Linked DNA regions of Caenorhabditis elegans. The protein of the gene in region 1 interacts with the protein of each later gene in a pairwise test. Each region holds a gene or a part of one and is shown on either strand. Other genes may lie near its edges.

Region 1 (7,294 bases):
GTTCTGTTATTACTATGAAAGTCCACAACTACATCTTCCATACAAATAACTGTGAAGTTGAAGCTTAAGGAATTCATTTGACCAACTGTCATACACAAAAGCCTGAATCAAAACTAATTTATGTTGTACGAAAAATATTTAAACCTACGAAAGTATCATAATCAAGTATCGAGTTTTGTGAAAGAACACAAAACTAGATATGTGCCGAACATCTGGGAATCCTGATTCAATAGTTATCACTGTCATAGTTGTATTACAACAAGAATGTTCAGTTCCTTTGACAAGTAGAGTTTATGGTTGTTCATTTGCATAATCACATATAACATCATTGATCAAAACATCAAACTTGTCCTTTTTGAAAATGTGGCGGAGGCAAGAGTAGAAATACTATCAAAAATCATGTGAAACAATATTTTTGAATTATTATTTATCATTCCCAGAATTTCGCTTAATCCGTGTTTTCTAAAAATAGTTTATGTACCTATTCAATATAATTAGGCTATTCAATATAATTTTATAGCTATTCAATATAATTTTTACTTTTTCCTATTTTTTCTCTTATTTTCACGTTCAAATAAACGTATTAAATAAATAGTAGATGGGAACAGTATTGCACACGGCCAACCAATCTCGAAAGCATCAAGCCACAAGTAGCCAGTTGGTGAATCTGGCGAAGCTTGAAATAGCTGGCGAAGACTAGTTTTTTGTTTTTCTTTTTTGCCTTTCTACATCCAAAACCTAGTTCGTAACAAAAATATGTATTTGAGCATTGACAAATTATTTACCAGATTTTAGAATAATATGAAGAATGAACCAAAAATGAGAACATGGAAAAGAGAAATAAATCAAAATTAGTCCTGGAAGACGCATGGATCGGTCACTTTGACCTTGAAAACTTCGAAAATCTTAGCCAATTCCATGATTTTCAGGCGATCCAAATGAATTCTCTGAAACATTAAATCGTCAGTTTGGTGGACAATGGCCACGAAATTTCACCTGTAAACTATTCACAACAGTCATCAGTTTGATAAGTCTACCAGCATAGTTTGACATTTTGTACTCTTTCAAATAATATTGATGAAGATCGTCGGCTATTTTCCCAATGAATTTCTCTCCCGCATCAAGAATATCACCTTGAAGAGTTTTTCCTGAAATTTTAGAATTATTGGGAGAGCTCATTGAAAGGGGAAGTGCCCACCAGCAATATGCCATATGATTTGACACAACATGTAACTAATTTCAATTGTGGATGGATCAAGCTCCATAAGTGGACGAGCGACTTCTTCATACATTTGTGAGCACACATGTTGGAACATTTTTCGGAGCTCGAGGGAAGTGTAGTCGGTTATCTTGGAAAGATCAATTTCAACATCTTCCATTCGAATTGCAGTCGAATTTGAGGTGATGAGAATCTACAAAAATTTGATATTGGTGTGGAGATTTCGTATAAATGCTGTCATATTAGTCCAACAGATTTTTGAAAGGTTTCAGACAAAGTTTTGGCAGTTGCCACATTTTTAAAAAATTTCATTTTGTAAAAACAAAATTATTAGTTTTTGAGAAACCTCAAGTTACACAAAAATTTAAACCCACAAACTACTCATGTAAACTGCGAATGCTCCAAAAAAAAAAAAGAAGTTTTTTTCTGATTTTTTTTCTCCAGAAGTTATATTTTTTAAACAAAAATTGTATAAATAGCAAAGAAGTTAAATTGTTTCAATAGAACATTTTTTCGAGCTTTCCAAAATTTTTCAACATTTCATGGCATAACTGACTTCCTCAATATTTTCTAAAATTTTCAATTAAAAGTTTGATAAAATATTTTTATAAAGTTAACATTTTTGAAGAGGATTTTTTTAAAGATGTAATGACTACTGGAAAATATCAAAAATAGAAATTATGATTAAAGCCTTTTATTCTCCTTTTATGGTCCATATAAACTATTTTCTGCAAAACAAAAGTGTTTTATTTTGAAATTATATAAATATTGGTAGATTTAATACGATATGGTCGAACCTACTAATTTTTACGTTATTTTCTTGAAATCATATTTTTTCTAAACCTGATGGTTTTTTCCAATTGAAGTCGTTGTTAATGATTGGAAAAATATTTCCAAATCATATCAAAAGTTCAACAGTAATGCCGAATCTCATTTATTTGTTTTTCTTCGTTTCTTTCGTAGATATTTTATGATTTCAAGTGAGATCACGCATTACTTTCTAAGAAAAAAACTTTTCAAGAAAAAAAAAAGAAATTACTCACTTTCTCCTCTATCGCCCTTTTTCCAAAAATTTCCAGTGACATTGTCAGCTTCTCGAATCTCTGTGACACTTGCCAAACTAATTTGAAAATCGAAAACTTTTCTTCCAAACTCAATTCTCGAAATTCTTCAGAATGCATCATAAATTCTGCTTGTTTGGTCATTTCCATTCCCCACATATCAACCAATTGGTCCAGTCGTATAGTGTTTATGATCTGGTTATATTTGAACTACACTATAGTCTTCAATATGTATTATGTACTTACTCGGAAGTTTTGCATCTTTTTATTCTTCCGATGACGTCTCAAAGCCCAATCCATTTTTCCTAAAGTGCTGGTCGACTGGTAAACCGGATCATCAACTGGTATTTTGAACTGTAAACGTGGAATTTTACGGAATAAATATACGGGTCACAGCACAAACCTCCATAAAAGTCTTGTGTATTTTATTCAAAGTTCTTGACAAATCATAAAGTGGTGGAGCATCTAAACAAGACTTTTTGGATCCAGGACTCCAATCTGAATATGCATCAACGTCAGTTGCATCGTCTTCTTCACTTTGACGTTTTCTATCAGTTGATGAAATCATATCACGATTCCATTGAACATCTGAAACATAATTGTTGTGGTTGTAAAGAAACATGATCCTCAAAAAATATAACTCGTGAATTCAGGGAGAACATTTTGTGAAACTATTGAAATTTTACAACATTATTAACTGCTAATAAATGTTTGGAATTATGTATATTCGAGACTTCTGTTAAATATGATCTTGTGAAATGCCAATTCAATTAAGAAAATATTTTAGGTACCACTAGAAACAAAATAAGTATAATTTGTAGAATGATTTTATTTTCTAGTATTTTTGTCCAAAACTTACAAATGCTAAACACAAAGTTCTACAGTAGTTAGTGGGGTCAGGCTAATTTTGATTTGAATGTATATACCTAGAAAGGAAATGGTGAAACTATTTTTTTGTACTCACTATCTGCGGTCATCCCGAGTTGTAGGCACTTTTTGTACCTGCACAATCTGCACAGATACCTCTCTGACTTGTCAATTCGACATCCTTGACTTGCTTTTCTGCACGAGTATTTTTTGTCCATGACAACAGAGCGTCTGAAAACTGTGTTATTTTTTGAGTGTCCAAAACATGTACCCTACCTGAAAAACGCAGCACAAGCCCTGCAAGACAAAACTCCAAAGTGGACACCGTGTGCCGTGTGTGCGCAAACTCGGCATTCGGAATCAGATGAAGATGACGACGGCTGCAACATTTCTCATCAAATGATATTCACTTTTGTGACTTCAATTGTGTTGTGTGCCCATTTCTCTGTGTTTCATGACCTGAGAGAGTGGCGAAGAGGAAGATGCGCAGGGGTGAAAGAGATTTAGTGTGTGCGTTTGGGAACAGAAATTGTGTGTTCGGCCATGGAGTTTGTGATCATTTACGTGCTTCGATGTAGTTAAAGAAATAAGACTAGAGACAAGCAATCATATTTTAAAGTAGATCTTACTTTAGAATATTAAAAATCTCCAATTTCAAATCTAAATGTGTTGTAGCGGCCATAGATTTTATAGAGTTTGTGACAGATCTAGATTTTTGATGTTTATCGGTAAATCACAATTGTAAGATAAACTTGGATACGGTATTTTGATAATAGTGCTGCTTTTCGTAATGGAAACATAGTTTTTGTGACTCATAAGACGCTAGATCCTTATGGGATTAATTCATTGATAAGAAATCACATAACCTATGACAACTAGAATGTGTTTAGTTCACGAAATCGAAAAAAAACTAGGTGATCCTAGATTTTATCAATTCCAACCTATTGTCAACTTGATAAATAAAAGTGTATCGTCATAATGAAATATCAAATGATGAAACATTTTGTAACAATTCCTACCTGATCTACACTCATTCGGGATTGCTCTATAAAAGCCGGTGGAGACATTCCGATTTCCATTGGTGATTGTGTTTCCTGAAAATTTGGAATTGACTAAAAGTAGAAAGTAGGTTGCAAGAAACAAATATATTGAATTCAAATGTGGTAGAAACTGATCAATTCGCTGAAATTTTATAAAGTAAGCTACCCATCAGCGTGGTCTAAAAATTATCAAATTGGTAGAGAAATTTGCAAAGTTTGGGCAAGACTTTATTTGGATCAAGGCTACGTTTACGTTAAATGAGACTCTTGCCAAAATCTTACAAAAATTGAAAGCGGTACAAGAGAAGTTTGGCAAGAATTGGGCAAAAATTGGGCTCAGACTTGCCCAAGTCTTGCCCAACGTTTGCCCGAGCTTTGCCATTATAAATTTTCAACCGAAACCTGAGCGAAAGCTCGCCGAGTTGGCCAGAAATCCCGAGCTTAATTTTATGTACAATTATATCAAGGGAATTTTCTGTATAAAAATACATGTATCCAATTCAAAAGTCAGAAATTTTTTTGCAAATGTATGTAGTAAATTAAAAACAAACTACAATTTATCCGTACAATTTACAGACTACACAAAAGCCTTAAAAGCCTAAAAAGCCAAAAGAATTAACCTTTCTTTGAATTGACGAATCATCAATGAGCTCAGGAACTTCCATGAGACTAGGCTTCTGACCTCTTGAAACCGAAACAATCAACTGACTGCCTAGAGGGCATGAACCACCGATAAAATGTAGGAATGGGCGGGAATTTTGATTTTTTGCCAACCTTTCCGTATGGAATAATGAATAGAATCTTATGAGGTCTTGAACGATTGAAATGATATATCAAATCACAGAATATGTCACGGTTTCTTTAAACACATTGGTTTTATTTTTGTTATCAGATTGTGTCTGTGCGAGTTGGAGTGAGAAAACGGTGAAAGCAAAATTGAGAACAAATATTGACAGGGCTTGGGTACCTATCGAGACACTATGGAGAAATTCATAACGAATTCGTTTAGGAAGTGGATATGTGTGCCTTCTATGCGGATACAAAACCACACCTTATTTTCTATGCGAATACTTGGACTTTCAAATGGGAAACGACAAGAGGTGTTAGAAGGCAGAAAATATTGGAATATCATATACAACGGTTTTAGACTATTCATGTGTCGTTCTGACTGATTTCATCTTTTCTGTTTTATTCCTATAGTGTCTCTCTCTCTCTCTCTCTTATTGAAAACTTCCGTAGAATTGATTTTTGTACTTCTGACTACAAACCACGAACATAGCAGTTTTGACACATTGCCTACAAGCCACACGTAGTGAGGCACCACTGAATGAGGAAACGCGATATGGGGGAACAAGCAACGTTGGGAAAATTTTAGCTGGAATTTTTTTCCGTCCCTTTAGCTGAAGCTTTAGTGTGATTTGGTAAGAAAAACTCTATTTTAATCTGGAACATAAAAAATTAATTTCAATTTAATTACATTACTAACCGTTATTTCCAATTTTTCAGATTAGAATAGAGATTTTCTCACCTAACTATACTAATTATTATTACACTCATAGGGAAAAAAAATGCTCGGAAACCTGTTTCCACAGTTCATGTGTCTCCAAGTTGCGTCTCCTCGATTCGTATCTCGTAAATCAGTGGTGAGTCCATGACGCGTTTTGCGTCAAGGCGGTTTCTGGCGTGTTTTGCGGGAGCTGGCGCATTTCTCGTCTTTTTTGTGAACACTTTTTGGAACGCAGCTTCTTATTTCTTATTGGAATTGCTTTATTTTCTTTTAATTTTTCTCAATTATTGTTTCAAAAATTACTTTATTTTTTATTTTCAGGTATAATGTCGTCCAAATCGTCTGCACCACTGGAACCCACGTGGACCGAGACGGTAAATTAAATTAAAACTAATATGTTTCAAATATCGATAATGTTTAGCTTGCCAAAGGACTCACACCTCGCTCTGAATGGCCAGACAAAGACGAATTATTGGATGTTGTTTACTGGGGAAAACAGGTGAGATATTAAAAAATTTAAAACTGCAAAAGAAATAAAAAAAACTTCCAATAATTTATATAATTTCACTCAAAACACTTCAATTATGCGTTGAAGTGTTTACAAAATGGGTTGTTTCTTGGTTGAATATTTCAAAAACAAATTTTTCACATAAATTTCGGAAGTTTCTTCGAATAAGTTGGATTTCTTTTAAGAAAGGTGGAAATAGAGTAACCAATTTCAGAAATTGAGAATATCATTCAAAAAATCGATAATTCAAAAAGCTTTGATAAAATTATTCTTTTAAAAAATCTAACAATCAGTTAGCATTTTTCATTGTTTCTTTCCAGGTTATCTCCCTGCTGCTGGGCTTCATCTTCGGAATTACCTCACTAACCGGAGTCCTCGTTTTAGTCTGCTACGTTGGAACGTCTTCCGTCATTGCTCACCACTTTGTTACAAAATTCCAACGAGTGGACGAAGAAGAAGTCGGAGGATTCTGGGAATTGTCGAAAGAAGGATTCGGTGCTGCTTTCGCTACCTTCATGGTTACGTGGATCACAACCTACACGTACTCGACACAAGTGTAGAGACCTTGGAAATATATATTAGTATTTATTGAATTTTGTTTAGTTTACCTCGACAGTTTTGAGCCAAAAGCAATCAAAGTTACAACTTAAACATGTTCGTGTGCCGTTCTTCCCTTGTTATTCCAAATATTTAATTTTAAAATTATTTTATTTTTGTTCTGTGATGTTTTTTTGCGAATTGTTTATCTTTAAATAGTTAAATATCAAACCCCAATTGCCTTCCGTTCAAATATATGAATCACTTTGAATTGAATCTCTAGAATTAATTGTTGTACTGACTGAAATGGACGCTACCAAATTATGAACTTATCTCGAGTTGATTTATAGTAAAACTATGAAACAAGTAATTTTTAGATGCAACTATTAATCATCTTATCTATATTGTTGTCACTATGTGATACGGAGAATTTGACGGTTTTATTAGTTGGATCTAGATACAAACTTACTGAACAAAGAGTAATGGAAAGGAGGAAGCAAATTTTAGCAGATTGTGAAATATTAAAGGTTTGAATTCTTAGAAAAATCTGTCTTT
Region 2 (4,304 bases), on another chromosome or scaffold:
AGTTGCGGTATTTATGAGAGGAAATTGGAAACTAATTAGGACAGAGATGAGTAGTTTCAGATGAATAGCTGATTTTATTGCCATTTCTATAGTTTATTTCTTTTTTAGATGAACTTTTTCCCCGATGAATTCTTCCCAATTTCCATTCAATAACATTACATGAGTTTACGAGTTCATGTCAAATGGTGAATAAGTTGAGTTACATGAGTTTACAGGAAATGTTTGACATTCCAATACGAAGACCAGTTCAATAAATCATTCTCGCAACGACCCCTGAAACGATGACATGATTGAACAATAATTCGTTAACAAGTCGACTCAATTGCAATAATACACGGCTGCGGTCTCCTTCGACAATTGTCATCTTGCTAAACAATTGAACAAGACGAATGAAAAGAAGGTTGAGGTTTTGACAAACTGTACAGGACGCGTCTCTAACCTCCTTTCTCAAATTGGGTGGCATCATTGTTCGAAAAAGGTGTCGCTATAATTGACGAATTATTCGACTCCTAGGCAGACGATCTTCAACTGTAAAGGTGTTACGGAAAATCTACTCAGCTATGAAAGTTGGAAGGCCTCCACTTTGACGAGTAACGTAGAGTGTTTGAGGTGGAGAGGAAGCGGGACGACTTTTTGCTTCCCCCCAAAATTGTCTATTAATGAGAAGGCTAATTGACGCACTTGGTGTGAGGAAATCGCTACCGTAATTTTGTCATTTGGAATGATTCGCAATGTTCTGTTACTTGAGCGAAAACACTCCAGCGTCCGTTGACTGTATTGCATTTTATTATTTTATAATAACCAAGACATTGAAAGTGAAACATTACAGAAGAAATTAAGAGATCGGATTTTGAGAATGAGGGCAAAATTAAAGTGGCTCAGCAGGAAAAATAGAAGAGAAAAACAATAGAAATTGAGAATTTGACATTTTGCGTGATGAAAACCGGATAAATACTCTAAGCGAAAAAAAAACAATCTTCAAGGTGGAAAGGTATTATTCATCCTCATCTGATTCTTTTTTAGAAACAGATGCATTTTTTACAGAATCAGGAGATACTGATGGTGATTCTTTTGGGGAACTGATATCATCTTTTACGTTTTGCGATGCTAGAAATTGCAGTAGAGAATTTTGAGAGTTGCTAGCAGGAATCATTGAAGAAGTTGGGACGACTAATGAATTGAATACAGGGCGATTATTAGAAGCTCCAAACATTGAAGTGTTCTGTGATAAGTAGTTTGCCCAATATGGATTTGTTCTTAGAAGTTGTTGAACGGCGGCCATATTTCCAGCATCGTGAAGAAGATCCATACCAACAGAGGCTTGTCGTTTCCATTTGGTTCTGAAAGTACCGTGAACATTTTTTTTCATTTCAAGCACTTTTTTTCTCAAATTTTTTGCGCCTCCCAGGGTAGCAGCTCCAATCTCAAAAATTGGATAATGACAGTGGAGCCGTTTCCCGTGGGGTGGTTGAAAGGAGTGGGGGAGGGCGCGGAAAAAAGATGACACTACTAAATAAAATTGGTGGGCGCACGCAAAGAAATTGAGGAGGGGTGAGAGCTTTGATTAAGATAAATTTCGATGGGGGTGAAGCTTCTCGCTAATGCACTACAATTAACACAAAGTGGCGTGTTTAGACTCAATTCTCGCCCAACTGCTGGCGCAAAGAGCCACACGTTGTTGTTTTTCGAGAAAAGAAAAAAAGTTTGCCTAATTAAGGAATATAGCCGACCAACCTTCTATTTTGATACCATGTCTTTACTTGAGTATCTGTTAGCCCCATTCGATGAGCCAGCTCCATCCTATCTTGAACAGACAAGTACTTCTGCTTCTCAAAGGTGTTTTCTAGCTCTTGAAGTTGTTTGTCGGTGAAGATAGTTCTCGCCTTCCGAGCCTTTTTTGATCCCACGCATGTCGGACTCTCGTTCACAGATCTTTCGGTATTCGGGCTCCCAATTCTAGGGGATGATGGCGATTCCGAGGAATTAATGGAGGTAGGAGATGGATCTACAATAACAAATAAATAAAGAAAACTGTTTGTATAGGTAAGAGGAGAACAAAGGATCATAATTGGTTGACCTATTACTATTACAGATTACCGTCCATGTGACTACTGGAGCGTTAATCCGTTAAATATCATTTTTCAGGTTAGTTGTACATTCAACATTCTCATGGAAGTCTATGTAGATTAAAGTGTTAGAGATGGTTGAACGAACATACAATAAATGCAATAACTTTAGGAAAATGGTGGCAAAATGGATTACCTGGTTCGTTGGTTGAGTGTGAAGTTGGATCAAGCAGATCAGAAATGCGAAAAGAGCTGTTTAAGTTTATCTTCGCGCCACCGGAAGAACTCTGAGCAGCAAGTTGGTTGGTGGGGTCTAGAAAGAATGCAGGAATCAGAAACTGACGGAGATCCAACATTGACATTGTTATGATAACCTTATCAGATGATGTAACAATACAATAAGTTTTGTAATAGTCAAATTGAATGACTTTTAGACAGTAGTTTAGTGTGAATGAGTGGGTTGGAAGGGTCCTGTTGCCTGCAGTCACTAAACGTCGCAAACTCGTTGATTGGTCTAGTCACGCCCATGCGAAGTGGAAGGCGGGGCGTGTCGAAGAAGGGAATAGAATGGATGACACCACGCGGTTTTGTATTGAGAAGTGTGGTCCGTGCAATCCACCTTTTTGAAGCCAATCAAGTGTGATAATGGGGGACGATGAAGCTGAAAACGAGCAGCTTCGAGGAAAAGACGAAAAGCAAAAGTTTCGGAAATGAGGCATTCAGGTGAGAAGAAAACAATTCAGACAAATCCCGAAACTGCCGAATGCAAACTATGCACACTAGGCTTTTCCTAAAAGCAGAGTAACAACGCAATGCAACATGATCCAAACGAGCAATGATTTTCAGATAAAAAAGCACTGAATAGAATTCAATATAACTAGCTATGCTAGTGTAAAACCGCAGAAAAAATCAAAAATAGCATGCTGCTTCGGCGTGCAAAAACTAGCGACTAAAGCTAAAAATGAGTTTCAGCCCGAATGATGTTTCAGCTTTCTGACTAAAAGATGATGAGGTCTAATAGGTACATTGTGTGTGTTTTAATATTTGATACATCACTGATTTGAAATCAGCACAATGGAAAACACTATCTGAAAAGTTCAGTAACAGTGACTACTTTTGATAGTTCATTTTGCATTTAGATTTTCCTGGCTGTGATCTTAAACTTGCTTCACACGTACAGTTCAGATTAACTGGTAACATCTTTTGGTACTTGTGTAGTATACCTAACACAAAAACATTTTCCAGTACATTTTCCATGCATTTCTTTTGAAACATAATAATTTATTCAAACCATGAAATAGATTTGCATTTTTAGACTTTGAAATACTTTAACCTTAAGCCTATTATCGGCAAAAAGGGGTTTAATATTTTTGGACCAGGTGTACTAAACTGGTACCTAATTTTTTTAATCCCAGATCCGCAAAAATCAGATTCTCAAAACACTAAAAATTATAATAAAATGCTAAGTAAGTAAATTTTTTATTTATTTTGAGCTTTATAGGAACTAAAAAAATGTAAACGTTTTCCGAGCTTTTAATTTCTTGAGCATTTATACTTAATTAGAGTTTAAATTTGTATTTTTCGGTAGCCGAGTTTGCAATAGTCTGGGTTCCTCTTTTATAGACTATTATGAGCAAAAAAACTTTGTTTTACATATTGAAATATTTTAAAAATTATAAACTAATATTTATAGTTGTAAAAAATTTTCAGACCCTTTATGTTTGCTTGAAAATTTGTTCAAAAAGTTTTCAATAAAATATCATGTTGAAACATCGTTATCATTCTGAAAAATATATTTGCAAAGTGAACAATGTCAACAATCGTTATATTTTTCACAACCGATTCATGAACAACGCGAATCTATTGTTTGTTATCAACGTCTAACAACTTACTAATACTTAATTTCCTGCCGTATTACCTCTCTAGTTTTCCGGCTGTTTATGTTTGGCGGCCACCTCCGTAAAACGTTAACTTAAACGTACAAATCTAATTTTATGCTGTCCCATCGTTTTCCCTCTTTCCCACTAACTAATAAGCAATATTTCCGGTCACAAACGGTCGATGAGCAACAATAATATCTGCATTCTCTTTGACGGACAGCTGTAGGCCCATTACCGGGGTTTTATGAGGAAAAGAGGAACCGCTATATGGTGAACTGTTATTAAGGGTACCGAACACAGTCATCTGGAAAATTTACTAATCGAATACACTACGGGTTTTCATTTTTGTGTTGGAATG

The links.
Region 2: the proteins of nhr-142 (region 1) and ceh-31 interact in a two-hybrid assay, tested with the Caenorhabditis elegans proteins (one large-scale study listed by BioGRID).

The regions. Positions count from the first base shown.
Region 1 is NC_003283.11:5,785,215-5,792,508, forward strand, and holds nhr-142 (Nuclear Hormone Receptor family), read right to left. Parts: upstream 5,340-7,294; 5' UTR 4,853-5,339; coding exon 4,808-4,852; exon of another isoform or gene 4,732-4,807; intron 4,242-4,731; coding exon 4,167-4,241; intron 3,528-4,166; coding exon 3,424-3,527; intron 3,379-3,423; coding exon 3,245-3,378; intron 2,869-3,244; coding exon 2,684-2,868; intron 2,635-2,683; coding exon 2,527-2,634; intron 2,476-2,526; coding exon 2,263-2,475; intron 1,413-2,262; coding exon 1,199-1,412; intron 1,149-1,198; coding exon 997-1,148; intron 948-996; coding exon 852-947; 3' UTR 743-851; downstream 1-742. Other genes in the region: F44E7.7 (Major facilitator superfamily (MFS) profile domain-containing protein), read right to left, coding at 1-102, 149-246; F44E7.9 (Rab5-interacting protein), read left to right, coding at 6,021-6,068, 6,116-6,193, 6,523-6,762; ZC250.2 (N-acetylgalactosaminide beta-1,3-galactosyltransferase), read left to right, coding at 7,117-7,266.
Region 2 is NC_003284.9:3,067,880-3,072,183, forward strand, and holds ceh-31 (Homeobox protein ceh-31), read right to left. Parts: upstream 2,544-4,304; 5' UTR 2,429-2,543; coding exon 2,263-2,428; intron 2,006-2,262; coding exon 1,735-2,005; intron 1,678-1,734; exon of another isoform or gene 1,395-1,677; intron 1,341-1,394; coding exon 995-1,340; 3' UTR 769-994; downstream 1-768.